Sus scrofa: one gene and its partner. The protein of the gene in region 1 interacts with the protein of each later gene in a biochemical or structural test. Links are inferred from orthologs where the notes say so. Each region holds a gene or a part of one and is shown on either strand. Other genes may lie near its edges.

The links.
Region 2: the proteins of SCN8A (region 1) and FGF14 form a complex in vitro, tested with the Homo sapiens proteins (2 studies listed by BioGRID). The link is inferred for Sus scrofa from reciprocal best matches to the Homo sapiens genes SCN8A and FGF14.

What each region holds. Positions count from the first base shown.
Region 1 is NC_010447.5:17,158,534-17,173,893, reverse strand, and holds the end of SCN8A (sodium channel protein type 8 subunit alpha), read right to left. Parts: intron 14,521-15,360; coding exon 14,416-14,520; intron 10,898-14,415; coding exon 10,627-10,897; intron 6,597-10,626; coding exon 5,449-6,596; 3' UTR 63-5,448; downstream 1-62. UniProt on the Homo sapiens protein: Pore-forming subunit of a voltage-gated sodium channel complex assuming opened or closed conformations in response to the voltage difference across membranes and through which sodium ions selectively pass along their electrochemical gradient.
Region 2 is NC_010453.5:70,851,921-70,867,753, forward strand, and holds the start of FGF14 (fibroblast growth factor 14), read right to left. Parts: upstream 10,022-15,833; 5' UTR 9,145-10,021; coding exon 8,937-9,144; intron 7,498-8,936; exon of another isoform or gene 84-7,497; intron 1-83. UniProt on the Homo sapiens protein: Probably involved in nervous system development and function.

The DNA of each region.
Region 1 (15,360 bases):
GCTTTGGTGTAAGAGCAATGACAGAATGACAGGCCAGTCCAAGAGGAGAGTTGAAAACAAGATTGACGTAACCCTTTATTGCAAATTCTAAAGTAAAAAGATGTACAGTACAAAGTAAAATTGAAATTTCAGACTATAAACTTCCAATCCACTTATACATTCTCATTTCTCAAGCATTTCTGCCATTTCCGCATAAACGGAACAGGGAACAAGTCGAGGGGGGTGAGGAAAGGAGATACAGCAAGGGAAAGAAATTAAGTGTCTAGAATAATCACAAACCCCAGAAGCAAGTGAAAGGAAAGACATTTTCTCGACCTGCTGTCCTGGTGATGAGAAGCGGGGGTGGTTGGAGCAGTGCAGTTTAAAATGGCTCTCAGAATAGCAGCATTTATGGTACCATTTCATCTTCCGAAAGTCCAAATAGTACTTTGCCCTTCCCTAGTGCCTTGGCCTCTGTATCTCAAAAACACTTTACAAAACATGTAGTTAAAGCCTCACAACACCCCTGTGAGGTAGGTCAGTATTATTATCCCCATTTTACAGATGGGGAAACTGAGGCACAGAGAGGTTAAGTGACTTGCCCAAGGCCACACAGCGAGTCAGTGGTCGAGCCGGGGATGGAACAAAGGAGTTCTGTCCCTCTTCTGGAACCACTGGACCGCGCTCCCCTTTACCTATATACATTCTCCACACACACACACACCACACGTGCACACCCGCCCACCCCACCCCACTCAGCCTCTATGTACAGCAAACAGCAGTGGGGGCAGGGGCAGGGGGCGCCTCAGGAGTGTTTTAATGGAGGAAATCTTGCTACTCTTGGAAGGAGAATCCAAGAAAGCACAAAGCTGAGCCCCAACACAGACTGTGCAAACCTTGGGCCCCTCCGGACGCAGACTTCCTCTCCTCTCCTGATGTCCCCCTGGCTGGCTCGTTGCAGCCGATTCTTTAGGGGGTGGGGGTACCTGAAAATGAACGAAGCTTTTTGCAAAACTTTGGGCAACATCTGAGAAAAGAAAGAGGCATCTTTACAGAAGATGCCCAGGACTCAAGTCACAAAGTCATAACCCATGGCAATCTCACCTCCACAGCAGGCCTGGAGGCTGGGGGCCGAGGGGAGGAGGATGGGGACTGACCTACCCGCCATCTGTCTCCAGAGTGGAGCTACTGGAGCGGACAAGAGTGGGCACTTCAAAATCCTCCTGAGTGTTCCTGGACCGGGAGACGTGGCCTAGAGAGGGATGTCCCCAAAGCGGGGCAAGGGGAGGGAGGGGCGCCCCCCTTCCCTGCACGAACGTGAGGGAGACCAGCCCTAGTCTGCTGGCTCGTGGTCGGGGTGATGGAGGGCAGGGCCCAGCAATAGCTTGCAGCGTGGAGGCTGTGGGGCATTGGAATGGTTTTCTTAACACACTGGTGAAAAAGGCAGAAGTGAGGCCAGCCCAGCTGGGCTGGCTGCCATCCTCTCTGGGGGCGCTGCCAGGGGGACCAGCGCAGAAGGGCTTTCCTGGGGGCCGGCAGGAGGAGGGGTGCCGCATGCGGCGGGGGGGGGGGAAAGAAGCGGGGACCTGGGGGGGGGAGGCCCGGACCTTGCTTTTCTCTCCAATCGCTATTCCTTAGCCAGAACTTTTGGAGAAACCCTCTGCGTTCTCTCCCTTCGTTCCCCCTCCTTTCTCCACCTGTGCTAAGGTCCCAGTTTTCAGACCCCGCCCAGGAATCGAAAATCGGGAGAGTCAAGCAACAAACGCACACCAAGACCGGCTTCCCTTGCACGGTAAAACGGGTGGTTTTTATTTTGTTTCCTTTTGGCTTATAGCAGTGACGGACTCGCATCACGCCTCGTCTAGAGCAGTGCTGGCCGCCATGCAGTCACTAAGACACCCGTCTTCACTACTGGGCTTGTACAAGCTGACATTGGTTGCGATGAAAAATAAAAGAACTCTGTTTCAGGGGCTTTGCCTGGGGGTTTCTGTTTATCTCCCCCTCAGTCAACTTCTGATGCCCAGAGCGGCTCACCTGGAGAGGAGGGGAGTAGGTCCCGCTGCCTTGGGGAGGTTTTGCTGCTCTCGCCCTCGGGTTTAAATTGTGGAGTCTCCTCCTAACGCGGAGGTTCAGGAAAGAAGAGGGGAAAGTGTTTTCACACACAAACCAGCAACTGCGTCAGCTGCTGCTCAGTGGCTTTGGCTCTGCGTTTTAAATTAACAGCATCACACGTGTCTTTTTGCTTTTTGTCCTTTTTTTAAAGGTGGATTGTGGAGTATAAATACTGCACCAAGGACCCGGCTACAAAAAATAAATATTTATATTGTATTTATATATCTATATATATATATGTGCAGTGATACTGTGGCTGCTGCTGCTTTTTGATTGGCTTCGTTAATATTTGGCAAAGCGCTGCCACTTCCCCCCTCAGTGAAGACGCACAAAAACGTCATCATTGACTCCGTTCAGTGCCTGTTAACTGCGGGTGTAAACTGCTGGTGATGGTGTCACTGACTACCAACGAAGTGTGGAGCAGGGCGAGTGAGTGAGCGAGCGAGCAAGTCAGTGGGCCGGTGTGTGAAGGGGCGCTGGGTGAGGGAAAAGAAGGTGGGAAAAGTTAAGAAAAAGAAAAAAGCAACTTCAAAGAGAGTGGAGGTGGCTTCTTCCCTGTGAAGCTGGCTGATGGGTGTCAGATACCAAGGCCGGTGTGTGAGTTACGAGTTACGGAGGAGCTAGCCTGCTGGGCCGGGAGCAGGGTCTGGGGAGGAAAGAGGTCAGGTCTCAGAAAAATCTCATGACTCGGCTCTAGGAGCTTAATGACAATCACTAGCGCGAGCGCTTGGAGTACGGAGCGGGAATCTCATAGCTCTGTTGCCCATCTCAAGACCTAAGAACAAGAACAATTATGAAGTTTAGCCAAATCTTGCATAGAAGTGGTTAGAATTTATTGCACATTGGAACAAAAATATATTTTTGTTGTCGTTTTGGAAAAGACCATTAGCAATAAAAAATTTTTTGTCTGTCTGTCTGGTTTGGGGATGTACATTGGCTGACAGCGTCTAAGTTCTAAGAAGAAAGGAAAGTATAAAAAATAAAAATAAACATGACAATGGCATAAGCCAGAAGCCATTTCCTATTTAATAAGTTAATAATTTGTATTTACAAAAAGGCATGCTAATAAAATAAAATGATATATTACAGTATTTATAATTCTCTTAAAAAGAATAACCACACATGTCAGCTGTTTTGTGCTGTTTACGATGTAGCCTGTACATGTTACTATACATTCATCCTAGCAGTTAGCGGGGTCGCCGATGGAAAAACGCCTTCCCAACCTGCTATTGGGTGGAGTACAAAAGGTTCTACGGATGGTGCTGCAGAAGCAGGCTTATGAGAGCTGGACAGTTTCTCGTGGTCCAACAAGGTAGAAAGCTCTGCTCACTGACTTGCTGTGGTTTGTTCTACGCAAAACTAGTCAGGTGGGCTGGGAAATTACATCCAAAGTGCTTCTACTGCAAGGCAGACTGGTGTGTCTGATTATGGGCTTTCCCCCCTCTACTGTGTGGCTGGGGAAGAATTTGTTTTGATTGGGCCTGCATGCTGAAGTCTCTCCTTGTTCTTTGTATAGACTTCCTGACACATTCAACTGCAGCATCTTAGCTCTGAAATCTAGTCAGCAGACGAGAAACCCCTGGACTAAAAGCTGTCTTCCCTGAAGCAGGAGATGGAATGGAAGCAATGACGTTCCCCCCCAAGCCACCCTCCAATGACAATGGGCAGGTCACTAAGCAGAGAGCAAAACTGGCCAAAAGGGAATACGCTGGGGGACACTGGGACTTCTTAAGAATTCACACTGAATCGCTTTCCCATGAGAACCAGTGCGATAAAGAAACCAGGTGGGCTGGGTTCAGAGGCCGCTCTGTCTCGACTGGTCCCACCAGTGACGACTGATTCTCATAAGACACGAAAGAACCAGAGCTGAGGCGCCGAGGCTGCTGCCCTTACCCAGCTCTGTGGGTAAAGGAAGCCCTGCGTGGTGGAAACAAGTGATGGAGGCAAGAGGCATTCATGAATCACGCTGTGTGTGAGCTTGCCACCACCTCTCTGCGGAAGACGGTCTGCTCAGACTCCGGACCCTGCTCCACACGGACCCAAGCCCGGAGAAAGCCACAACGCGGGCACGCTACTGATGAAGTGAGCACCCCTTTCCCCCAAATGACCCTCTAGAGATAACATGCTACTCTGAACAGTAGCACTTTTATCTCTGTCCCCCCAAAGTGTCAGTTCTCCAGTATGAAGGCTCAACAAATCATAAATATTGCAGGATACAAATGAACATTTTTTTTTGTCTTTTTGTTTTGTTTTTTTTTAGCCCTAGGATTTGGTTTTACAGTGACGTTAATACAAGCCATTCGGGATCAAAGTTGCCCCGTGGATGGGACACAGAGCAGCATTAAACAGTTCATCTTTCAAGATGTGCAACAACGGCTGTATGTTAGAGATGTCTGTGAAACAGATACACACAACGGATCCATCTGCTTGTTGGACTGGGTTTGTTTGGTGGTGGTGGTGGTGGTGGTGGTGGTGGTGACTGGTTGGTTGTGTTTCCCTACCCAGAAGGTGTATGAAAGACCTCTAAGAATTCGTCAAGAACTGCAGCGGGTATGGAACGCTTACCATTTTTTTCTCCAAATACAGTGAATGGTGCAGGGCTGGGTCCTGTCCAAAGGCTGACCCAGGGCAGGGGACAGGATCGGTAGTGTCCTGTGGTGTATGGTTCTCATGCATGACTTCTGATCACGGCATGCCATCATGCAAATCATTTCTACGCATTGAATGAGCACAATGTTTGGAATCGGCCTGAGCAAGTCCTCCTCAGCCTGAAGAAACCTGATTTGTTTTCCCCCACCCATCTCCAAACCACGTGAAGCCCATGTGGAGAAGATGCGGTTTATGCCAAAGAAAGTGACCGTTAAATGACACGGGCTAAATGTGAGTGTGTGTGTTTTTTCCTTTTTGCCGCTTAGCTTAACTAATGTAAGAATGCAAAGAGAGTTTGCATGAACAAACAAACTTTGAAAGAGATGCTTTCTGCTTCTGAGAATCAACAAAATGAAAAAATAAAATCCATTTGGCTGCAACGGAAATACACTGGTCCCGGCAGCCTCTCCTCTGTTTTTGTATCCTGTTAGTTTTGTCCTAAAAGTTGCATTGACTGATGTGGAACATGCAGTAACCACCTGCCCAAGCATTAGAAAATCTGTTGAGTCCAGGGAGGAGGGTCCTTTGCCCTTGGCAGGTCACTGCTCAAGATGCAACCGTGTTACATGGTAAGCAGACTACGTTTGGTATAGATCTTCGGGTTAAAGTGTCTCCACAGCTGTTCTGCATTGATAATATTCAGGAAGTTTGTAAACAATCTTTCGCTTGCACGTTGGACATCTGCACACTGTCGAAGTTAGCTTTCCCCTAACACTTGGATTCTCTGACCTCTTTCTGTCGTTTGGCTCTTTCCCTTCTTCCCTCCTCCGCCCGCTGCTGTTTCTCCTTCTCGGGTTTAGTTACACTGTCATAGGATGGGAGGGAGGCGGTGGACGGGGTGCTCTCCTTTTTCTCCCGGTGCGTGCCTCCGTTCTCCAGCTTATTGGAAGGTGTCTTTTTGCAAATGAAGCCCCGCCGGGCTAAATGTCCCCGGTAGGCGCGCTGCAGGACCACGGCCGACACCTCTTCCTGCTTGCGCCGCAGGGTGGTCGTGATGGGCTCGTAAGACACTTTGGAAGGATTGGACGCCACGAACCTCTCCTCCATCTGCTGCCGGAGGATGTCCAGCTCGCCGCTGTCTCCCAGGACGCGCTTGGTGAAGGCAAAAAGGATGTCCAAGCAGTGGATGCGGTCCCCGCTGACCATGGGCAGATCCATGGCGATGAGCTCGATGGTGTTGGGCTTGGGCACGCGGAGGGGATGCTCCAGGGCGTCCGCAAAGTCCGCCAGCTTACAGTACTCGATGAACTGGGTGGCGTCGGGGTCGAACTTCTCCCAGATCTCGTAGAAGGTCTCGAAGTCGTCCTCACTCAGGGGGTCCGCGCTCTCCTCCGTGGCCACGCTGAAGTTCTCCAGGATGATGGCGATGTACATGTTCACCACGATCAGGAAGGAGATGATGATGTAGCTCACGAAGAAGAAGATGCCCACGGAGGGGTTCCCGCAGTCGCCTTTAAAGCCACTGCCCGGGTGCTCCTTGTCCAGGCTGCAGTCGGGGGGCCGGTTGAGGATGGGCAGCAGCAGGCCGTCCCAGCCAGCCGAGGTGGTGATCTGGAACAGGCAGATCATGCTGTTGCCGAACGTCTCGAAGTTGAACATGTCATCGATGCCGGCCTCGTGCTTCACGTACGCGAAGTTGGACATCCCAAAGATGGAGAAGATGAACATGACCAGGAAGAGCAGGAGGCCGATGTTGAACAGAGCCGGCAAGGACATCATTAAGGCAAAGAGCAGGGTACGAATCCCTTTGGCGCCTTTGATCAGACGCAAGATGCGCCCAATGCGGGCCAATCGGATGACTCGGAAAAGGGTTGGGGAAACAAAATATTTCTCAATTATATCAGCCAGGAACATGCCTAAGAAGAGGAACAGAAGATAGTTACTGAGACTGGAGGTGCCCTTTCCCCTTCCTTGGGTCGCCGGGCACTCCGGACCCCTGCCTTCAAAGGATTTGAGGGAATGAGTGCTCGTTATTCAGCTCTTAATGAGAAAAGAAAGTCGCATGTTTCAAACACACAGAGAAGCAGGAACAACGATAAAATGGACCCCTGCGTCCCTAACACCCAGATGAAAACATGGATGGGAGCGTTTTACCAAACTTGCTTCCACTCATCAGCCCCAGAAGCAACCACGGCCCTGAAGATGGAATGTCCATCCCGGGATCGTCGTCCCATTGTTGCTACGGAGGAACCCACAGACGACACAGAGCCTCCTGCTAGGTGGAAGGCATCACGCCATTATCTGTTTTACTGTTTCCCCACTTCCTCTTGAGATTTACACTATGTTTGGGAGACCGAGCTCTGATGTTACAATAATTTTAATTAACTCATTTGATGACTAGGTCCTTATCCATCCGTTTTCCCACTCAAGGATAATTCATTTTTCTCAGATTTGTCCACGCGTGACCTTCTGAGGTGTTATGGATTCTTCTCCGAAATGCCGTCAGATTTCTACATTCACACACACAGTAAAGGAGAAGTCTCGGCTCCACCCCGTGACCTCGCTGCCCTCTGGCTGCGAAATCTTACACACCCCGCTATCACCAGTTCCCAAAGCATCTTCTTCCTGGCTCTGAAAAGACATTTTTGGTTTCTCATTGCCCCGTGGCCCTACCCTACCAAACTAGCCTACCAACTAGAGGGAACGCTCAGGAGTGATTTTTTTTTTTTGTCTTTTGTTGTTGTTGTTGCTATTTCTTGGGCCGCTCCCATGGCATATGGAGGTTCCCAGGCTAGGGGTCGAATCGGAGCTGTAGCCACCGGCCTACGCCAGAGCCACAGCAACGCGGGATCCGAGCCGCGTCTGCAACCTACACCACAGCTCACGGCAACGCCGGATCGTTAACCCACTGAGCAAGGGCAGGGACCGAACCCGCAACCTCATGGTTCCTAGTCGGATTCGTTAACCACTGCGCCACGACGGGAACTCCTCAGGAGTGATTTTTAACTGAGAGTTTCTAGGTGTTGCGTTTGAAGCCAGAAATCAGAAACCAGTAACAGCAGCTAAAAGTGTCAAGGCAGTAACTGGATAGAAAAGTAGAGGGTGAAACACATACACCAGAGGGCCTTTTGCTGTTCACATTCACCCAGGAGTCCGCCTCCAGCAGATGACTTGCCTTTAAAAACTACAGTGATAACGGGAGCCCAGTGAGGGCCTCAGAGGAAGAGGAGCTGAAGAGGTTGGAACGTGACAGCTGAAGGGGCCGAAGTGACATGGCTTTTCCTTCAGTGCCTTCTCTTGCTCTCGAGGCCCCCACGAGACGGTGTGCGTCTCAGCGGATGAGAGAGTTGATTTAAATAAAGAAACAGCTTCCCACCGCAAAGATTCATAAACACTGGGGCAGTGAACTGCAGAAGGCTTATTTGAAGGTTTTAAGCTACGAAAGCATCTTAACTTTCAGGAAGGGACAAGACGCAGGAAGTTTGGAGTTGGCCGGATAACCTGTCAGGGTTTCCTCTGGAGCTGGAATTCCACAGGCATTTGAACTTTTAAGAAAGTCTCTACCTCAGCCAGGACCCAACAAGGTGATTTCTCAGTGCCCTTCCTTTTGTTTCTCAATCAAGTCATAACCAGTGACCGGAAGACGTCAGGTAATATACGCAGCCCTTGTGTTCTGTACATGGGGGGCAGGTAAGGCTTCGGAGAGAAGGTGATGCCCGAGTGAGGTTTTGCAGGATGCATGCGGATTTGTGCCCAGAGAAGAGGGGCAAGAGGTGGGCGGACAGCAACCCAGGCGGTGGGAATCAGCATTTAAAGGGTCCTCTAGGAGGTTCCAGGGTGAGTCTTATTCCAACTCCTTTTAATGTAAAAGATTTTTTCTATACTTTTGTTTTTGAACAACTTAATGATTTTTTTTTTTTTTTTTTTTGGTCTTTTTGCTATTTCGTGGGCCGCTCTCACGGCATATGGAGGTTCCCAGGCTAGGGGTCGAATCTGAGCTATAGCTGCCAGCCTACGCCAGAGCCACAGCAACGCAGGATCCGAGCCGTGTCTGCGACCTACACCACAGCTCACGGCAACGCTGGATCGTTAACCCACTGAGCAAGGGCAGGGATCGAACCCGCAACCTCATGGTTCCTAGTCGGATTCGTTAACCACTGCGCCACGACGGGAACTCCTGAACAACTTAATGATATTTTAAGAAATCCCAATTATCAAAAGGAATTCTCCTTATTTTCAAGTACCGTCTGAGAAGAGGGTGCATGGTTGGGTCTGTGGGTTTTCCATCCCACTCAGTGATGGGTGGGCAGGAAGTTCGAGAACAATGGACAAGGGCAGCACTGTCCAAGGTGTGCTTTGTGGGAGGTCAGGAGTGTGGACTTGAGGCCAGGGGGCTGGGCTCTGTGCCTTAGTTCCTCGTGATACTTAGAGGGCTGTTGCGAGGATTATGTGAATTAAAACACATAAAGCACTTAGATTGGCGACAGGCACATAGTATGTCCCACTGAACTATGAGAAACATCACTATTACTTCAAAACAGGGTATTGTGATCAAATAAAGGTGGGATGGAGAGGTTCCTGTCATGGTGCAGTGGAAACAAATCCGACTAGGAACTATGAGGTTGCAGGTTCCATCCCTGGCCTTGCTCAGTGGGTTAAGGATCCTGTGTTGCTGTGGCTGTGGTGTAGGCCAGCAGCTGTAGCTCTCATTAAACCCCTAGCCCGGGAACCTCCATGTGCCGTGGGTGTGGCCCTAAGAAGACAAAAGACAAAAAAAAAAAAAAAAAAAAAAAGGTGGGATGGATTGTTAAACAGAATTCTTTTTTTAATTTTTAGTGCTGCACCTGTGGCATACAGAAGTTCCTGGGCTAGGGGTTGACTCAGAGCTATAGCTGCAGGCTATGCCACAGCCACGGCAACACCAGATCCTTAACCCACTGGGCAAGGCCAGGGATCAAACCTGCGTCCTCATGGACACTATGTCTGGTTCTTAACCTGCTGAGCCACAACAGGAACTCTACCAAACAGAATCCTTTACTCCAGGACTTCCAAGAGCCTCCTGCAGGCTAATGTGCCCTATGACCCTTCAAAGGGAAATGCACCATGTCCTCTGCCTGCCAGGACATCAGCCCTTCCATGTCCTTAGGTTGAAGCGGATGCCACACGGTCACTGTATTTTTTTTCTTTTCTTCTTCTTTTTCCTTTTACGGCCGCACTTGGGGCGGATGGAAGTTCCTGAGCTAGGGGTTGAATTGGAGCTGCAGCTGAGGTCTATGCCACAGCAACACGGGTTCCGAACCGTACCTGCAACCTACGCCACAGCTTGCAGCAATGCTGGATCCTTAACCCACTGAATGAGGCCAGGGATCGAACCTGCATCCTCACAGAGATAACATTGGGTCCTTTACCCACTGAGCCCAATGGGAACTTGGCCATACAGTCATGGTTAAAACGCAATGGGAGTTCCACTTCTATCACCTCCTAGTTAGGTGATCTTGGACATCTTTACAGCAAGATAATAAAATCCCTTGCTTCCCGGGCTGTCATCGGGATCAAACGAGATAGGAATGCCAGTGAAGAAACTCAAACGACCTGGCACCATCAATTCCTAGTAAATGAGCACCGCCTCCACCAACCGCACCACTGCTGCCACCAGCACCAGACCGTCTCCTTAATACCCAGCTTCACGATCTCTCACAGGCCTGTTTCCACTCTACACCGCTACTGTAGCCGTATTTGAAAATACCTTTCTTTAACCTCCCCTCTTGGGAGGGAAACTCACTGACAGCAAGAACCGAATCAAATCCCTCCCGCCCTGTCCTGCTCCGCCCCGCCCCGCCCCATCCTCAACCGCAGAATTTACGATTCAGTTCAGCTAAGCAGGTCCAGGAGCCCCCTCCTCGGGGCCCGTCGGGCCCTTGTCCCCTCCCCGCCCGCCCCACTCACCCACGATGGAGAGGATGACCACCACGAAGTCGAAGATGTTCCAGCCGATGGTGAAGTAGTAGTGCCTCAAGGCGAACATCTTGAGCACACACTCACAGGTGAAGAAGATGACGAAGACCAGGTTGATCCAGTAGAGGATGTTCTCCATCTGCTTGCTCTGCGTGTCGGTCTCCACCATCATCGTCACCATGTTCAGGCAGATGAGCATCATGATGACGATGTCAAAGGCTTGCTGAGTGACGAAATCAAAGACGATGCCTTGGATTTTGTTCTGGGCGGGGAGGGCGGGCGGAAGGAGAGAAAAGCCTTCGTGAAAACCTTGCCGGCGAACGGGACGTTGCTGCCCTGCTGACGCAAGGCCTCTGTGCCTGCGCTGCTGCCGGGATGCCGGCCAGCCGTCTGCTGCTGCTCTATCAGGGTGTCGGGAGCTGGGCCAAGGGCCAACGCCAACACCCCGCCCCGAGTGTTCTAACACGACCACTCTTCTGGGCCTGTACCTCTCCCGCGGCTCCTTTTTAGTCTCGTTCGCTGGCTCTTTCTTCTCTCGCTTCATCTCGTCTTTCTCCCTGGGAGAGCTCAGCTCCCACCCGTTCCTACCGCTTACACGTTATTTATGTCCTCATGCTTCCCAAGCGTTTTCTTCGCCAGCCCATCATCCTTCCTCGGAACTCCCGGGCCGCTCACTCATCTCTCCCGGACGACGTGCCAGCATCTCAAGCTCGGGCAAGTGCAAAGCCGAGCTCCGTCCTTCCCCCTGCCTGTCTCCCGGCTGGTTCCTCTCCCCTCAGCTCTTCATCCAGCCTCCACAAGTCTGAGGGCCCTTCTTGCTCTTGTCTCTGCCTCGTCTCCCACCCAACCCATGGCAGGTCCTGCTCATCCTTCCTTGAATTCATCTACTTCATTCCATTCCTCTTGCCCTTCTCTAGCCCAAGCCACCATCATTGTCCCTCTGCACTTCTAGAAGAGTCTCTGCTCTTGCCTTCATCCAGTGCAGCCTCCACACAGTAGCAAGTGTGATTTCATTTATTTATTCACTTATTGTCTTTTTAGGGCCCCACCCATGGTATATGGAGGTTCTCAGGCTAGGGGTCTAATCGGAGCTTCGTCTGAGACCTACACCACAGCTCACGGCAATGCCGGATCCTCAACCCACTGAGCAAGGCCAGGGATCGAACCGGCAACCTCATGGTCCTTAGTCGGATTTGTTAACCACTGAGCCACGACAGGAACCCCCACTTAGGGTTTTAAATAATCACACTTGCTACAGTGGAGTTCCTGTCATAACTTAGTGGAAGCAAATCCGACTAAGAACCATGAGGGTGTAGGTTCGATCCCTGGCCTTGCTCAGTAGGTTGAGGATCCGGCGTTGCCGTGAGCTGTGGTGTAGGTTGCAGATGCGGCTCGGGATCCTGTGTTGCTGTGGCTCTGGCGTAGGCTGGTGGCTACAGCTCCGATTCGACCCCTAGCCTGGGAACCTCCATGTGCCACGGGAGCAGCCCTAGAAAATGGCAAAAAGACAAAACAAACAACAACAAAAAAAAACCCCAAAAAACCGTAAGTGGTTACATCACTCTCCTACCTAAAACCTCTCACTGGCCTCTCACTGGGCTCGCAACAAAATTCCTACAGTTCAGCCTGGCTGAAAAATACCACTCACCTCATACCTCTCCCCTAGGTCATCACCACCTGGCCACACTCAAGTCTCCTGCTTTTAGAGCTTCATTTGCTCTTCCAGGATCTCTCCCCAGCATTTTGGCTCCTTCTCATCCACTCGAACAGACCCTCAGTAGTGAGGCTTTCTCTGTTGAAGGAGATCCCCCACCCCCAGCCTGCGTTATTTTCTGTCATGGCCCTCCAGGTAATTTTTCTCACAACATTCCCCACTTTATAACTGCTTAATTAGTATCTGTAGCCCCACTATATTATAAGCTCTAGATGGTGGTGTCTAAATTTTGTTCATCACTTCTTTTTCTTTTTTTGGCCACACCCGTAGCATGTGGATGTGGCCACACCCTGGGCCAGGGATTGAACCCACACCACAGCAACAATCTGAGCCACAGGAGTGACAATGCCATATCCTTAACCCGCTAGGCCACAGGGAACTCTCCCTGTTCATCGACTTTTCACAGCAGGAGATCTGTAACTATTCGAGAAACAGTTTTTTTTTTTTTTTTTGCTTTTTAGGCCCCCACCTGGGGTTTATGGAAGTTCCCAGGCTAGGGGTCGAATCAGACTGCAGCTGCCGGCCCGCACCACCGCAGTGGAGGATCTTTAACCCACTGAGCAGGGCCCGGGATGGAACCTGCATCCTCATCAACACTATGTCAGGTTCTTAACCTGCTGAACCGAGGAACCACAGCAGGAACTCCTGGAATAACTATTAATGCTTCCCACCACACTGAGCATTTATATGTTAGTGTGGAAGGAAATACTCTCAGGTTCCTGTGTGCAAAGTACTGAACAGAACTTTGGAAACGTCAAGCCTCTAACAGTCCCTCCAGCTGCATTTCTATCACAAAGTGGAAATTAACAGCAAGGGAATATAAGAAACATTCTCAAGATCTCAATGATTTTTTTTTTTTTTTTTAAGGTACCTTGGCCCTTGAGCTCATGCTTATTTTCAGGGTTACTTAACTTGATGGTTTTGGAACAGTTCTGCAAAGCCCTAGGGTTTCCTTTCCCTCAGAAGTTGGTGAAGGGGGGCATGCTAGGCATGGGAGTGGGCATGGAAGCTAAGCTGGGAAAACTCTCTGGGGCTCCTACTCTTGATTCAAACAAAGTAGCTCCATTTTTATTTCTACAGATTAGGTTGCCAGGTAAGCTTTTAAGAGTTCTGCTGTGGTTTTTTGTTTTTGTTTTTTTTTAATTTAAATAAAAGTTATTTTAAATTAAAGTTATAGAAGAAGGAACTCTGAGCCTGGCTTGTAGGGGTCAAGTTCTACCCGCCTGGCAGGGAGTGGGGCTTCAGGCAGAGCATCTCCTCCTCTGAGGCAAGAAGACAACTACCAACCCAGGGGTGGGGCATAGTCCAGCCCCCAAATCTGTTTTGTAAAAGGCTCAGGTCAAGGGAGGAAATCAGGCCACCCAATTCTCCTAGTTCTACCCCTCCCATTCCCACAAATAACCAGGAAGAAGCATTATTTTAGGGAGTTCCCATCATGGGCAGTGGAAATGAATCTGACTAGGAACCATGAGGTTGCGGGTTCGATCCCTGGCTTTGCTCAGTGGGTTAAGGATCCGGTGTCTCTCTGAGCTGTGGTGTAGATCGCAGACATGGCTTGGATCCTGCATCACTGTGGCTGTGGTGTAGGCCAGCAGCTGTGGCTCTGATGAGACCCCTAGCCTGGGAACCTCCATATGCTGCGGGTGGGGCCCTGAAAAGACACACACACATACACACACACAAAAGCAGCAGCATTATTTTGGCTTCCTGACATATCCTTGCAAAGACTTGTTACATAGAGAGGAAAATAACACCAAATCCTACCTTGTACTGATATGAAAGAGATCAGCTTTCATTTTCACTTTGTTAATTTTTAGTGGTCTCTCTAAATATCTCCCAGCCAGGACCAAAGCCAATGTGGCTAACGTGCCAATTCTCTGCTGCTGCCAAGGCAGGCTCGGAGGAAGGTCAGCCCAAGCGTAAGAGCTGCCCACACCTTCGTCCCCGTGCCTCCGCTGCCATCCTCCCCTCTCTGGATGGACAGTGAGAAGAGGACGGAGGGCACTTGCCCCTTTCCCCGCTCTGCGGGAACCCTAGCCAGGTGTTTTTCCACATGGGGCACTCACCAGGGGGCGGGGGATGGGTTTCTGTGGTTTCTTTGAGCCCAGCTTTTTCATGGCATTGTAGTACTTCTTCTGTTCTTCAGTCATGAAGATGTCCTGACCTCCAAAGTAAAGGGCGGAAAAGAGATCACAAAATTACAACTGGCTCTCACGTACTGCAGGTTTGGACCTAAGGGGCAATCTGAGAACCAAGGGGGACCTAACCCCTTTTTCTCTCCACGGGCTGGTGTAGCTAATAGTTGTTCTAGAGGCAGACCTGGGACAACTATTCTAATTCAAAGAGATACCTGCCTTTGTTTTCAGCTCGGGATTTCTGAGGCCTGCTAGCAGCCAGGAAGGAAGGAGAAGAGGAAAGCAAGGGACTCACAGGCCCGCAGGGGAGGGTAAACTTGAGAGCCGGGAACACATCTGGTTCATAAATTTTGGGAGGCCTGCTTTCCTGATACACTTCTAGAAAGAACATTTTAAAATGAAAGGATTTCCAAGTCTTGGTTTATGGCCTGTTTATTTTGGACAATATTAAAAAGTTAGAAGTCTTGGTGGGAGCCAACAGTTTGGGGAGTTCTTTGGAGCTTGCTGGGACAGACTTGATTTATAAAATGAAGGACAAGTCTCATCTTTTCAAGTTGCTTTTGAAAAACTTAACCATTTGGGACAAGAAAGGAGGCGAACTTTCCAAGGATGACCTCAAATCTCAGTGCACTAGTGGTGCCCGGGCGCCCACAATTTCAGCTTCTCCCTAAAGCTATTTGCTGCTCTCCTTTCATCTGTCACGAGACCCTCTCCCACCCTACCTCCCTCTGGTAGGAGGCCAAACTCAGTGAAAACCCTCAAGAATAGCTAGGAAATCTGCTACTAGTAAATTGCTGGTTTGGTCTAATAAAAGTGGTCAACTACGCACTGCAAAATTCAGCAGGACAGAATGAGCTGGTTGGGTCTAAGGTAAAA
Region 2 (15,833 bases), on another chromosome or scaffold:
GCAGATAACAGAGCCGCACTCCACTTGCTCTGGGCCTGTTGACGGGATCTTGAGAAAACTGGCAAGCGCCAGAGAATTCTTACCTGAGTCAGCCCTCCTGGATCTGTCTGTCTGCAGTGCCCAGTTGAGGGAGGAAGGGAAAACTCACGCTGTTTCTTCCTTCCCAAGACCTATTTGTTGTTGATCCTTTCTTTCCCAGGGACAGTTAGTGCCTTCTTGTCTGTCTCATGTCAGGTCTTTGGCTTGGGAACCATCAGGCTGAGGGCCCTCAAGACACGGCCGGACAGCAATGTGGGTTGCACTCCATTCACAGCTAGTGTCCTAATGATTGGAGCCAGTGCTCAAGGGAAATACCCAAGTCTCTCTCTTTGGCTACCTTTGGATGCGGTTCTGGATCTTGGGAGGATACTACCTTTTACACATTTTGGGGGGACAGCTCTTGAATCCAACAGGTTTTCAATATTGCCAGGAACATTTACTCTTTGTGTCAGCTGAAATCTGACAATGTATTTGAAAAAAAAAAAATTAAGTTAGCTCTATAGTGAGAAGTTGGCAAGATTGGAAGTGATACTCAGAGCCCGATAGGAACTTTTTTTTTTTTTTTGAGGTCTTGTCCCCAAAGCTAAGTGCAACTATGCATGCAGAAGGAAAGATCTTCCAAAACAAAGAGCTATCTAGAACACAGAAATCTTTGTATTTCCATCTTAGTTGATGATCTTCTCCCCCCAATTAAAGAAGCAAATAGATAATGTAGTAGGATGGGTGACCAGCCCTCTGATGGCAAACAGCTTGCAACTCAATTCTTGAATTAAAAACAACTACCCTGAACTCAAAAATTGAGTCTTTACAAGAGCAGAAATGAAGCTCCAGAAGCAATTCAAAGCCCAGCTGTCCTTTTTTCCAATCCTCAACCCTCCCCTATGCGGGTAGGTATTGTAAAATTCTGCATGTAGGAAATAAAAGCCCTTCTTGGAGGAACTTGCATTCTTTCCTGTGCTTTGAGATGCAAATATTCTATCCAGTTTTCTTGAGGAACTCATGGCAAATTACTTGAAAAGCAAACTTCAGGGGGGTAATTCTTATCATGGGGGAAGGGGTAAAAAGACTCTTTGGAAACCAGGCCAACAAAAATCTTTTAAAAGTTTAAAGCCATATGAGCAGGTAACTTTGACCTACTCCACTTGCCAGAAACACAATTTAGATCTGTTCTTTTATAAGAAGGCTGTTCTCGTCTTATCATACCTTCAAAATAGTCTTTTTCAATTTCTAAATTTACAGTGAAGTGGTTTTGATTTGTTTTTGTTTTGATTTGAAAATACTTGTGATTCTTCCCAATAGTCCAAAATAACAGAAGGTAAAACAAATCAAGGTAGGTAGGCTCCTCCCCCCAGAAAATGTTCAGAAACTGCAGGTAGAGGCATCTGGGGAATACAAGAAATATAAAGGAATGCCATCTGTTTCAGAACGAACCACACAACTCTGTGAGATGCGTGAAGAGCTCTTGGTAGTGTCACCAGTAAAATACAACATTTTTCTTCTTCCAAGGCTCAAAGTTGCGTGCTGTGCTTTGTCTACAACTCAAAATTGGCTCTTGGAACAGTCACTTCTCCACGGTGAAGGACTTGCCACACTTCTAAAAGGTCAATCCTGATCCCTAAGGTAGCCCTCCATGTCCGATAGTCTCAGATCTTAGATTACAACTTAAATATACTCAACACAGTCCAGGAGAGATACAGGGAAGATGGGAAAGTCCACTCAGAATCCGGACTGGGTGGAAGTTACAGACGCTTGGAACACGAGCGCTGGGGCTGAGCAGAGCTTATTCTAATCAATGCCCTTGCTTTGCAGTCGAGGAAACTGAGGCCCAGAGAACTTCGCGAGCCCGCCCTGGTCTTCCAGCAGCCAGCAGGGACGGGGCTCACCCTCTCCCAGTCCTGAACTCGGGAGTGATCGCCAGCAAGCTGGCTCCTTCCTCCTGCCCAGTGCTTTTTCCTCTACACCTGGCAGCGCATAGGAGATGCTGCCCAGGTGAAGGCGGCCACCTGTGGGCCGGGACCAAACTCTCCCGCAGCCCCTGGACCCGGCGACGCACGGGGGCGCACGCGCGGACGCCGGCCGGGGGCTGGCAAACGCGCGCCGCGTCAGAGGCCGGCCCGCACCCGCACCGCGGCTTCCGGCCACGTGGTTTCCATAGCAACGGCTGCGCCGGCCAGGGGCCCCCCCAGAGACGCCCCCTGGGTCAGAGGTCATCTCTGTAGCAACGGAAACCTCCCGCGCTACGGCGGCTCGGACGGGCCGCTTCCGCCGCATTGCGTAGCAGAGCCCCCGACGCTCGGAGGAGGGGAGCGCCGGGTGGCGGGAATGTGGGGCTCTGGCCGCGGGTCACAGCAGAGGAAGGCCACGCGTCGCCCGCGTGCCCCCTCTCTCCAGGGCTCCGTTAGGCAGGCTCGGGGCCCGACCCCTGGAAGCAGATCCGAGCCGCAGAGGTGGCCGGCTCTTGGCTGGCAGAAAACAGTCCATGCCTCGCTCGCTGCTCAGGAAGGCGGGGGCTCTGTCCCAATCGTGGCGTCCTGCCAGACGTCCTGTCCCTGACACAGACTCCGCGGCCCGCGCAGGGCGGAAGCTGAGTGGCTGAGTGCGGTTAGGAAGTGCTTTAAAGCAAAAAGGAACAAAAGAGTAACGGAGGGGGCACCTCCTTTCAAAACAAGTGGAGCTCGAGGCTGCTTGGCTGCTGGCCCCTCAAGAACAAAAACGTGCCACGCGGGAGGGTCCCATTGACCACCTTCGGAGAAAGGGGTTCAAAAATGATAAGAGGAACAATTCAGATGCACTCTGTTCTGCGGCATGCCTTTAAGAAGAAAATCGAAGATCAGAAAAGAAGCGGAGGGGGCTCCTGCAGAGGGAACGAGACGGTGCCCTGCCACTTGCTGTGTCAAGGCTGAGGGGGCCAGAGGGTGGACGCCTTTGGCGCCTGGGCTGGTGCCTCCGAGGAAGGCCTCAAGTTTGGAGACTTAGCATGTGGGCCTAGGGAATGTTTGCAGGCCCCGTTTCAGGATGCCCTGGCATGGCGGATGGAGAGTAGGAAGGCACCAACAGCTTTTTTCCTTCTTTCCTTTACTATTCAGAAGCCAAATTCTTGGTTGGCTCTGGGAAAGGAAGACCCATGAAGTGAACTTAAGCAAGGAAATTGTATGTTACTGGCAATTACAGCCCTCTGGTTAACTTTCTCAGAGATGCCTGGTTTTTGCTATGAATTCATTTAGTAAAAACATGTTGAAAACCTGCAGTTTGTCATAACGGGATTTTTGGTCAGGCGACGATAAGGGCAATAGTGACTTTTGTCCATTGTTAGGTGACTTTCTTAGCTGATGTTGAAGAGTAGATAAACAAAACTTCAGTATTCCCTGTAAACCATGTCTGCAGTATGCCTCCTTTTTGCTTTTCTGTTTAGGAAGTTTCTAAGAATTCCTCCTTTCAACTTCCCTTTGCTTCCTCATCCTACTTTTTACTACTGGGTCAAAGCAGAACATTAATTTCTCCCGACTAGAGGAATATACAGGGAATACATCCGTAGTCTTTACAAAGCAGAATAACCAAAAAGTGCAGCACTGGAGGTAGAGGGAGAAACAACTCTTCTCAGACAATTCCTTGCCCTTCTGTGCTCAGGTTCAACTCTTATAACTAAATCTGGTACATGGTACACAAACTAAGACCCTAGAAACACCACCCAGACTATGGTACTAGGCAGAGAGACTTGGCAGTGGGTATTTCCCTAACCTCCTGTCCCTCCTGGAGGTGGTACTAAATTGGGCTCAAAGCTTTTATCAAGAATATAGACGCAGTGTGGTGTCTTATTTAAAACTTACTAGAGAAGCTTCAAATACACTGTTCAAACATCCCAACTGTTTCCCCTGAAGGCATAAGAAACTATTTTGAATAAATGCTCCCATTTTGAGACATCTACATGATATTTATAGTAAGCTTATGAGTCAATTGAGTTATGATGCCAAAATGTACAAAGGAGCAAAAACTTTGGTTGTTGTCCTTGTTAGCACATGTATAAAAACACTTCATAAAAGTCTTCAGTGTTTGTGTTGCTAAAACATGGAAGACTGGGTTTGAACATTTTTAAAAGAATGTTCTGCGTGGGAACTATGAAATATGGTATAGAATTAGCTTTAGCACCTTCTGAAAGCAATGCATCATTTGAACAAATGTTCTCAGTGACGGATGCTGCCTAAGATGAGAATAGGCTGGGTATGGGTACAATGAAGTCACCTCCATTGTTAAAACCAAGTTTAGGATATCATGCATGGGATTTCACGCTTGTTAACTTGGATCTAAGTGAAAACAAAAGAAAAAACACCACACTCTCAACAGGTCAGTCCTTGAAAGTCTACCTAAAACGTCATTCTCTGGTTCAGGAAGTGCTACTGCCTGCAAAACTCATTTTGCTGCTTCAGTAACTAAAGCTTCCTGGATGGAGTCCAAGGCCACCTCATGTTATGTGGAATCCCACTCTGGAGGCAAACATAGCAGCCGAAGGACCTTACATCTGTTTGGTGTTCCAGCCCTGCATCTGAAGTGACCATTCCACTGTCTGTGTGCTCGGTGTTCGGGAATGCAGAGATCATGGCCCATTTGTGGTTCCCCCAGCTCTGCAGGAACCCAGGATGAGTCGTCAGGCAGAGGAGAAGGAGTGAAAAAAAATGCTTACTCTTTTTTTGTCTCCCTCTTCCTATTTTCTCCCTTCTTAAGGACATGAGGGCCCTAGCTGTAGAGCAAGTGGCTTTAAAAGAATAACATGTATTTAAATAAGTAACAATAGCATACCAGATGTTTGGGGCACCTAAAACAGCTTAGTCAAAGGCAAAAGCAGAGATGAAAGACACCCAAAAAAAGTAGGCAGTAGGAAGTGAGTTCTACCAACCCTTGCCTGTTTCAGCTCAAAGTTACATGGCAGAGAAGGAGACAGAGTTTAGAAAAGGAAACACTCGGGGCCAGGAGTGTGGGGGATTTTCTAAACGTGCTCTGCAGAACTTGTCTAGGGCATCCACGTCCTACCCTCCCAGCCACTAACACTGGTACTCAATAAAATTACATCCAATTATGATTTATCTTAAAATCTGCGCTTTACAAAATCCTGCCAAGCCACACAAGTTTGTGTCTGTGAGTAGCTGTATATAATAGAGGGTATGTGGCTTCCTTTGCTTGTTGGACATTATGTGTCTGAAGAGACATTGGCGACATGACCTTCGTGTTTATTGTGGACCTCTTTTTTCCAGCCATATTTATTTGTTTAGCAGCCATCGCTCAAGGTTCAGTGACCTAGATTATTCCCCAAACTGGCCCGTGATACAAATGGGTCTGTCCAAACTATCAGTACTGGTTTAAAGAAATATATCAAGCCCTCCTCAGGGCAAAATAAATGCCTCAGACTCAGTATTCCTTATTTAATGATCTGCCTAAAATACAGTCACCTTGAATGACTCATGCAGTGAAAGTTGAAGCAGGTAACATTTATTCTAAACATATAGCTATTGCTCTACTAGGAAAATAGGGAACAGTAGGACATTTAAGTGTGTGTGTGTGTGTGTGTGTGTTCTCTGATAGTTGTACTGTGAAAGATTGGACTTTTTATAAAGACAATAAATTTACTTTCTATCCAGGATTTCCAAACTATTACAGTTTATTTTAAAAAGCATAGATTGTGCAAATATATTCTTTATGCTCTTTTCCAGTTAAGTTTTACATGAAAACAACTGCAAAAGACACCTCTTCTTTAAGCATTAATGAGTCTGGGGGTAGATGAACAACTTTGCCTTTAAGTTCATGACTCAATTATCTGTGTATTTTCACATCAACTCCATTAGATAGCAGTGCTCTGAAAATCCCTCTCAGGAACCCCTGACCCAATGGCCTATACTTGTTGACAACTTAAAGAACTAGGAATAATCGGTAAATTTGTTTATAATTTACAAAGACTAAGAAGAAAAATTAATCTAATAAGAAGTCTTTACATCAAATTCATGATCCTAGTACTGGTACTAGAGGTTCTGTGCCAAGCTTCTTAGTCTGAAACCAGTTAATTGTCCTCATTTTAGATTTAAGATAACATAATAGGTCGTAGTCAATCTGTTCTTTTTGGTTTTAACAGTTAAGAGGATTTTAGTCTTTGTTTTATTTTAATTACCCAATTAACTTCTTAGTTATACTGCTATCTTGGGATCAAAAAACCTGGAAAAGATTTTAGGCTTCATGTTAACAACAGAAGGGGAATGAAATTGACCAACCACAATCCTGAAACTGCAATGGCTAGGCATGGCTTTGATTCAATCTCCAAAGGCAAAACTTTTGCAAGGTGAGCTAAATAGGGTGCCACCTTAATGTCCCATTTTTCAAATAATTTACAAAGCGCTGCAACTCCCAGACTAGACCTCTAACCCGTGGCAATCTAAGACAAACTATCCTATTAGAATAGTTGATATTATTAGATAGTTTGAATTAACCCATCAATTCACACCCCAGTACTTTAGCTTCATAAGCTGCAAAATAAATTGCTCTAAAAATAATTCGTCATTTGCTTGACACCTTCCAAAACGCCTCAGAACGAAAAAAAAAAAAATCTACTTTATTCCAGAGAGATGAAAGTGGGTGGGATGGGGGAGGTGTAATAAAAAAGATGTTGAATCGTGCATGGGTGAAAATTAGTGTTTCCAGTAAAACTGTTTACAACAAAAAAAAAGTATAAAAGGCCGTAAGGAAACTTCGTGTTCCATGTTGAATTATTTCCCACTCTCCAGTACTATGGAAGGACTGACTTCAAGATCCCTAAACAAATGGCCAAGTCTAAAGAAACGCTTCTACAGAATTCCCTTGTCAGAAGGACACAAGAAGGCTTCAAGACCCACTGATTTTCCCGTGTGAGCGAGGAGCCCCTCCCCTCTCACCGCAGCCCCTGGCTTGATCCACTTGGGGAAGTCTCGCCAAAAGGGTCTTCACGCGAACCCAGGAAACGGGAGCGTTGCAGATCTAGGTACGGCCTAGGGACCAGCAAATGTTGGGCTTGATGCGGGCTTGGGGTGCACCTCACTGGCCAAACTGGAATTGCGGCTGGGTAAGGTGACAACACTGCTTTCTCCTGAGTAATTCCCAGGATGGTGGTACCATCTCAGAGTTACTAAACGCTAAGGAGTTAAGGGAGAGAAGGGTAAAAGGACAGGGGACGGAGGCGGGGCTGGGGAAGAAGAGGGGGACGGAAAGCGAGCCGGCCGAGCTAGAGCCCTGGGATGAGAACTCCAAGACCCAGGCTTAGAGCCAACTGCAGCACCGCGCCCAGAGCCTCCACGGCCACCCAACGTCCCAGCTGAAGGCACCTGCCAGGCGTCCGCCGGCACGCGGACATCTGCCCTTTTGGACGCTCTAACTACTCGCAGGTTCCCTCCTGCCGCAGCAGAGGGGGCCGCACGGGGTGCTCAGCCTCCACACCCACCGCCTCCATCCCCGCCCACCCTCACCTCCTCCTCCTCCTCCCTCCTCCCCCCACCTCCTCCTCCTCCGGCTCCCCGGCTCCCGCTGGCGGCAGCTCCTCCGGAGCGCGCCGCCCAGCTACGCTGCATTAGCAAAGCTTCGGAGGCATGGAGACGGCAGCCACTTGCTGCCCGGCCGCTGGGACTCCGGGTGCCAGCGCGGCCGCGGCGGAGCCCGGGGTGTCAGGGCGCCCGCGGGGAGCCATGATCTACTACACCGCAGTGCCAGCGTCAGGAGCCTCGGGCGCCCCGGCTGCCACTGCAGGACGGCCAGGGCCCCGCCCCCGCCCCCAACGCGGCCCCAGACACAAACAGCCCGCCCGGGGCCCTCCCCGGCCTGAACCGAACCGGGGGACACCGCACACCCCCGCTGCCCGCGCGCGCGGCTCCCGGACCCGCTGCGCCCAGCCTCCTCGCCGGCGCGCCGCCGCCACCACGCCGCCCTCCGGCCTGGCCTCCCCGGGTAGCTCGCCCACAGCTCCGCGGCCGCCCCCAAACGCCTCAGACTGAGATACCGGGAGGTGAACCCCGGGGACCCGACTCCCCGAATCACCTGCATTTGCATTCCTTATGTAATGTACTGCAAGTTTCCCGGTTGGAGGCTTTTGGAATGGGGGCGCACGATCGCCAGGAGGCTGAAGCGGCGACCCAGGGCCAGGCTCATCCCACCGGTGGGACCCAAACGCCGGGCCCGGACACTGCTTTTTAAAGGGGAGGTTTAAATGACATATACTAGAGTGACCCGGCTGGTGTGCTCGGTCTGGGGTTCCCTCCCGGCACGAGCCCTGCTCAAGTATCCCCGGTGGCTGGAGGTGTCGGAGGCAGACAGGCGAAGGAGTTAATTAATACTCCGGCACCGAGAGCTCGACGGGGGCGGGAGGCGGGGGCTGACGGAGGAGCGGGGCCGCGAGGGAAGGGGCCTCTTTTACTTGGGTAAAGGCGATGGGGTGGCGAATATTGTGCAAGCTAATCAGAAAGTCTAGAGCCGGGTCTGGGCACCGAGCTACGTCCCCGAACCTGCAGCAGAAGTCGGGAGAGCTCGCGGTTCTTTTTCCTGGCAACTACCGAAGCTTCAGCTGCCTCGGGCCAAACCTGAAGCCATAGCCCTTCAATATTCCACCAAACATCAGCAACCAAATATATTTAAAAAAAAAAAAAAAAAAGTTTCCTCCTCCCTCCTAGTGATGGATTGTGTCACAGCCAAGAGATGCCCAGGATGATTTTCGGGCACACAGACGCCGATCCAGCTGTTAGTTGTTTATCCATGCAACACCTCTATATACCACACTGTCCTGGTCCTTTTCTGTTCCCCTTGCCTTCCTGCATAGCAGAACTGCAGATCTAGCTCAATGAGCAACAGACAGGTTATTATGAGGAAAAACATAACATGATGCATGTTTTGCTTACCAGTTGGGTTCTTGTTTTTCTTAAGACTCTTGCCACAAAGACACTGCAGCATATGCGTTCCTTTGCTGAAAATGTTCCAAAGAAACCACATTGATTTGGGCGAAAAGCAATCCAGCAGCTTAGACACCCTGAGAAAGAAGAGATCCTTGTGGTTGCATAATAATAATTTGAAATCAGTTCTCCTGAAGAGGGGCACCGGTTTTACCATAGGAAAAACGATAATATTCCGGATCTTCTCCCAGTTTTTTCCCCTCACGTGGTATATTTCTTTGAGACTTCTCAGTGATTGTTTTTTTTCGGCCAGGGTGAATGATTTATCCCCCTTGATCACCACTGGATTACCAAAGGGTTGGCAAAAAAATCCTTTTTCAGCATGAAGCCAAACAAAAAGGCAAAGAAATCCCAACTGAGACCAGAACTAATCAGAGAGAACAGTAATGCACAAAAGATCCCCAAAGAGAAAACCATAGCCTTTTTTACTTGATCGCTATGAGGATGGGTGGGTCTGCAGAAGGCAAAGCAGGGTTCATCTCACTGAGAAGAGACTGCCATTGTGTAGTCCCTAGGAGAGAAGGAAAAAAAAAAAAAAAAGGAAAGAAGAAAAGAAAGAAAAAAGAAAAAAAAAAAAAAGAAAGAAAAAGAAAAAAAAACCACCAGCACACACACTCACACACCAATACCACCTCCGAGTCTGACAGCCGAAGACAGAGCCTTCCTTCTGCCAGTGTCGATTTTTTTTATCATCAATCGCCAGTGCTCAGTGGGATCGGATTGAACCTGCAGTTCTCAATCACCACGAAGAAAAGATGCAAATCTAGGTGCCCCCTCCCCTGGTCAGGCTGGTAGTAGGTCGACAGCGCCACAGAGCCCCTGCCTCCTTCCTCTCACTCTCCCAGTTTCCAACAACGGCGAGCATGAGGAAAATCTCCCCTCCGGATTCCTCGCCCAGCCTCGGATGTGAGTTACAGGCATTAGGGGGGAGGAGGAGGAGGAGTTGAAGTTTGCATTGAAAAGACTGGCTTTCCATGACGTAGCCACGTGCTTTCAGACCCGTCACCAGTGAGATGCTTCAACCCGCCCGGGGAGGGCAGTGTCACTGCAGTCTCCCCGCTAGTTCCCCTCTCGAAGTCCCCCCGCCGCCCGCACCCAGCCCCAGCCCCAGCCCCAGCCCCAGCCCCAATATTCCACCCTCTCCCTCCTGGGCCCAGCCGGAGTAGGCAGGCTCGCTGCCTGCTGTTGGAGCCGGCTAACAGAGCCTTCTCTTAAAGGTGAATTTTGAAAAGGAAAATTGATTATAATTTGTAAAGCCTAGAAAATACGGGGGGTTAAATGGAAAGAGTAGTCTGGTACCACTCCACCGCCAAAAATGAGTTCCACTTGACGTTTTCCAAAGCGGCATCTAAAGTATCTGCAACATTAAGGAAAACTCAAGTTCCTTTCGTTCTTATTATTGGATTCCTCTTTAAAGTGCTGTTTGAAAAATATAAACTAGGCATATGACAAATATGTACTTGCAGAAACAGCCTGTTAAAAGGGCAACCACTAAAAGCTGGGTGACAAACTATATTTTGCTGAGAGGGTCATATGTAAATGAGAATATTTATGCCTTTTCTAGACAGACAACCCATATATATATATATACATATGAAGATAATGGGTGATTATATATTTATATTTATTTTGGTACTGAAAGCACTCTGATTCACACCCTAATTCATTGCTTGTTTCTGCACCCATTAATTAAACTAACATTAAAATCACCTTCATTCACTTATCTACATTAATATTTAACCTTGTCACCAGGCACCACAATCTAACCTAGCAAAATGGACCAATTTTCTCTTTCATCAGGATACAACCCAGCTTCCTAATCTCCTGAAAAATCAAAGCTTTAGGACAGAGCTATAGACGTATTTTACTTTACCTGGGAAAAAAATACAATATATAAAATAGTACAAACTATGATAAAGAATATGTAACAAACTCCTGTGTACTCACCAGTCAAAATTACTCAATGTTAAAATTTCATAGTTGTGAGCTGAGCATTTCGGAAAAGTAAAGCTGATCCCTCACACTGCTGTTTGGCAAATGAAGTAAAGTTATGCCAGCTTATTTCCACTTTCATGGGAAAACCGACCTAAAGTTTGTAACTTAAAAAATATACATTCAGACGCTCCATCTTAATTTCAAGAAATTAAAACCACTTCCTCTACTGCATGGTATATCAAGCAATCTTATAAACAAGTAGATGCAGATTTATGTTGTTGAGAATTGATTGAAGAAACTGATTTTAAAGAAAATTACCTCCGTGATCAAATATTAACTCCTTGTTATATTTTCATTTATCCAAAAAAAAGAAAAAAAGAAAATACAACAACCCTCTCACTGCTAAAATTTTCTAACATTTGGGAGGAATTTTGAGATACCAGAATTTGTATCCAATATCCTAAACCCTTTGGGGATATGTCAGTCAATTTCAGCCATCACAGAAATTGAAAACAAGTGAATTTTATTAAAGTTAAGAAACGTGAAAGTTAAACACTGACGTTCTCAGTGTGCCTAAGGAATCATGTTAAATGGTGTAAAGAAATTACCGAGATTAACTGCAGTCTAAGTAAATTTTGAGAAGTAAGAAAAGAGAGAAAACAGTAAGTCCATGAATTTAATGCCAAATGACTTAGAATCTGAAAACAAAACAAAAACAAAAACGGAAGAGTAAAACTCTCTTTTGAAAGAGGGAACTGGGATAGCATCGCCAAATAATAAGGAACGTATTTAAAGTCTGGTCGATTTGCAATGTTGCTGCTAATTTCTGCTGTACAGCAAAGTGGTTCAGTTATATGCATACACACATTCTTTTTTGGAAATATTCTTTTCCATTATGGTTTATCCCAGGGAAGACATTTTGATAGCAGTAATCAGGGTCACATCCCACATGCTGTTTCCATAACTTTCTTGTGTCGGGAGTTCCAGTCTATCCCAATATATGACCATTGGACATATGTCAGAGAAACCGCTGGTTAAAAAGATATTCTCCATCAAGATCTTGTGAACTCACAAAGCGCTAAGGCTCTGTGAAAGCTTGCTGAGTTTCCTGGGGTATTTCACAAGCAGAGTAAATCTGGGGACATATTCTGTTAATTATTGGACTTTTTCACATGCTAAGTTCGTGTAGAGAGAGTATTTTTCAAACCAGCTCTTCTTGCATTTCCAAACTGGACTCTCTTCTCTACCTTGTGACAGTGAATTTGTGGTTTGTTTTGCTCTGTATTAGTGGAAAACTGATCACTTCTTTATCCTGTGACCTAAGGAACAATATAAAAGGTAATTAACTGTGACTACTATTTATTGAGAATCTCTCGTGCCAGGCACTGTGTTAGTCGCTTCTCTTTTTTTATGCTGTGAAAAGGAAGGAGAAGTCTCCTATTATAAGAAATAAAAATTCTGTAGTTTTTTCTATATTTATCATTATATTTTTATTTATATATTGGCACATTTATCATTTTTCTATATTTACCATTACATTGTTTACATTACATAAGCTATTAGTCCCATTATTAAACAAACAGAAAATACCAAATACTTTTGTCTGAAAAAGATGGCCTAATACTGATTCAGGTCACCTTTGGTCCAAGGGAGTTGCAATTCCTAATGAACTCTGAGTAACCCAATTTAATTATTCAACCAATATTTATTGAGCATTTACCCTGTGGAAGTAATTGTACAAGACTCCATTATGATGTTAATTCATAAAATTAAAGCAGATTTCCAGTTACACAATAAAGAAGACCAAGGGCTGTTTGCCTCCAGTTTCGGAATGATCCAAAGATACTTACACTGACCTAAGTTCAGACCTTTATTTAAGTTTTGCTTTGGAAGACATCAAAATATTTACTTACCTTTTGCCATGCTACATTCAAGTCAATATTAATGACAAAACCCAGAAATTATTATAAAGTACATGCAAGCTTTAGAACTAAAGAAAATAAGAAAAACCTCATAGCCACTGTAAAATTGACAGTTGAGTTCCCATCGTGGCTCAGTGGTTAATGAACCGGACTAGGAACCATGAGGCTGCGGGTTCGATCCCTAGCCTTGCTCAGTAGGTTAAGCATCCGGCGTTGATGTGAGCTGTGGTGTAAGCTGTGGTGTAGGTCGCAGATGGGGCTCAGATCCCGAGTAGCTGTGGCTGTGGCGTAGGCCGGTAGCTACAGCTCCGATTTGACCGCTATCCTGGGAACCTCCATATGCCACGGGAGCGGCCCAAGAAATGGCAAAAAGACAAAAATAATAATAAAATAAAATAGAATAAAATTGACAGTTAAATCTATGGCATATACAAGTAGAAAAAAAAATCTTAAGATTGTGTTGTACAATAAACCCAGTACTCATAATCAAGTTCACTTAGAAATTAAATTAACATTCAGCATATTATAGTAAGCAAATCTTAAGGTAGGTTTAATGACCAGAACACAATAAAATATACCTTTCATTTTATCATAGGACACATAAATTTTCATGAGATTAGTCATCAAACATTTGCATAACTATTTTACCATGCTTTTTCTAATTGTTCCCAAGTTACTCTTCTACTTCATTTTGCCTTTTAGCAGTAAAACCCCACCCCCATCACACTTTTGGAAGGGCCCATGGGTATCCGGGTAGAGAACAGAAGTCCCAGCTACCCCGCAGTTAAGTATGGTCATGTGACCAGATTCTGACCAATGAGATGTAAGCAGAAGTGCAGCGTTAAATTTCCTAGTCACATTCTCCAAAAGAAGTTGTTTGTCTTCCACGTCTCTGTTTTTCTTTCTATGAGCTGAAAGTAATGGTGTGAGCGGCTTGGAGAGCAGGAAGCGGAACAGGCTCCAGGAATAAGGTACCAAGAGAGAGGAAACCCAGGATCTTGGACAGAGCAGCCAATCTATCCTGAATTGCCCACCTGCCTCTGTTCTGTTAGATGATAAAGAAGCCTTGATTTTGTTTGAGCCGCTGTATTTTGTGAACCTTGTTACAGCAGCTTATCCTTTCTACTCTCTTATGAACTGGTCTGGTATTAATTACAACACACCTATAAATTTGGGTTATTTACTCATATTAAAAGGAGAAAGAGCACAAGTACATCACACATAATCTGTGGATTTATGCTATCTGCCACTCTCCTTTCCAACCACTTAGTAGTAGCAGCCACTTATGTCCCAGCTGCCTCTTACAAGCCACTCTTACTCTCACACCAGTGCAAACATCCCATTGTCAGATCTTATGTCCCCTTGTCACCTCTGCCCTGCTTCCTGCCTGTCAGAGGTAACCTATGACAGTTTAGAGCTTATGATCTTGATAAAAAAAGAAGATAAAAAATGGGGGAAACATGATTGAAAGGAAAAGTTGATTAATGGATCTGTAAGGACCTCAGCATCTATATTTACCTTGTAAAACATCTGCCCCTCTCTTCTGGAAGGAAGAGTCTGGAAAGAAAACTCCAGTCCATCTCCCAATTTTTTAATGAGAATGGAATGACTTAAGTGGCCCTGCCTTTTCTCTCTCTCTCTCTCTGGATCTGCCTGCCTGCAAAAAGTTTTCATACTCCTCTGCTTCAGCTTCTCCCTGCAGGAAGCACTGGGGGAGTCATGAAGCCCACAGCCTGTCTTCTAGAAGCAGATCTGGAGACCAGTCTATCTGTGAACTCTTCATGGAGGCTTGTAGCAGACGTCACAGTGCCCCCCATATACGCCTTCCATTCTCCCCTATCCCTGTGCTCTGGTTGACGTTCACTTTCCAGTAGCTCCATCTCTGAACCTGAGGAATTTCTGTCCAAACCACGGAAGTTCCTCTCTGTCCAGGACTCTCAGAAAAGCCTTGGAATTAGCCCACCCTGGGAGAATTTCTCCACACTGAATACCCAGTTCCTTTACCCCTTGGGAGGGATAATGATAAGGTGTGTGTTTTCCGTTCTTTCCCAGAATTCCCCTGGGGGGTTAAGATCCAGTCTCCCACTGGGATATTGGCTTTACGCACGACTGGCCCTCCCCGCCTTCCTTACAACATCCATCCCTCGCTCATGTGCCATGGTCTTTCCTAAGTAAACGACTTGTGCCAGAATCTTCATCCTCTGTGGAAACCAAGACAGGGGTGAAGAGGGAAGCCGGTTCTGGGTAAATATCTCTGCTCTCCAGATCCAAACCCTTCCTTGAGGGGTCATTGCAATATTCAGATGTGGGGGAAGTAGTTAGAGAAACCACTGCTACCACAGGTTAAACTTCACCCCCCAAAAAAACCATGATCCCGAATACAACCAATAGTTTTATTTCCATCTTTCAAACATGGGTGGCCTTATTGTTTAATTGAATCTGAACTGAGATATGTGGAAGGAAGAGGGAGAAGTAATTATCACTCGTACGACCCTCAAATATTAGAAAATAACATAAGAAAAAAAGCCTCCTCTTTTTTCCTATTATGTTGGCGAGAATAATAATAAAACAATGAGGAACCTGCCAAGGGATACAGGCAAGAGCAGATGAAATCCCTTGAGTCCTCAGAAATATGAGCTTCTCTTGGCGAAATGCCCCAAGACTTCATTTCTCATCTAAAGGAACTTTATCTCAGACTATATAGATACACCTGACAGTAAAGCCCTAATTTCCTGTACAGCCCAGTAAGAGACAAAGGACCCTTCTTTCCATCCTCTGATGCAGGTGAGAGTTAACCTTTTACAGGTAGGACTGGCCCTAAACAATTTGAGGACCTGTACAGCATGGCCCATTGTACCCAGGTCTCTGAACTTTAATAACCCATGCTTTCTATTAATACACACATTAAACCCTTATTAATGTAATTTAAACTCAATATGAATTAAACATCTCTACTAAAACCAAATCAAAGCAACGGTGACTTCTTATA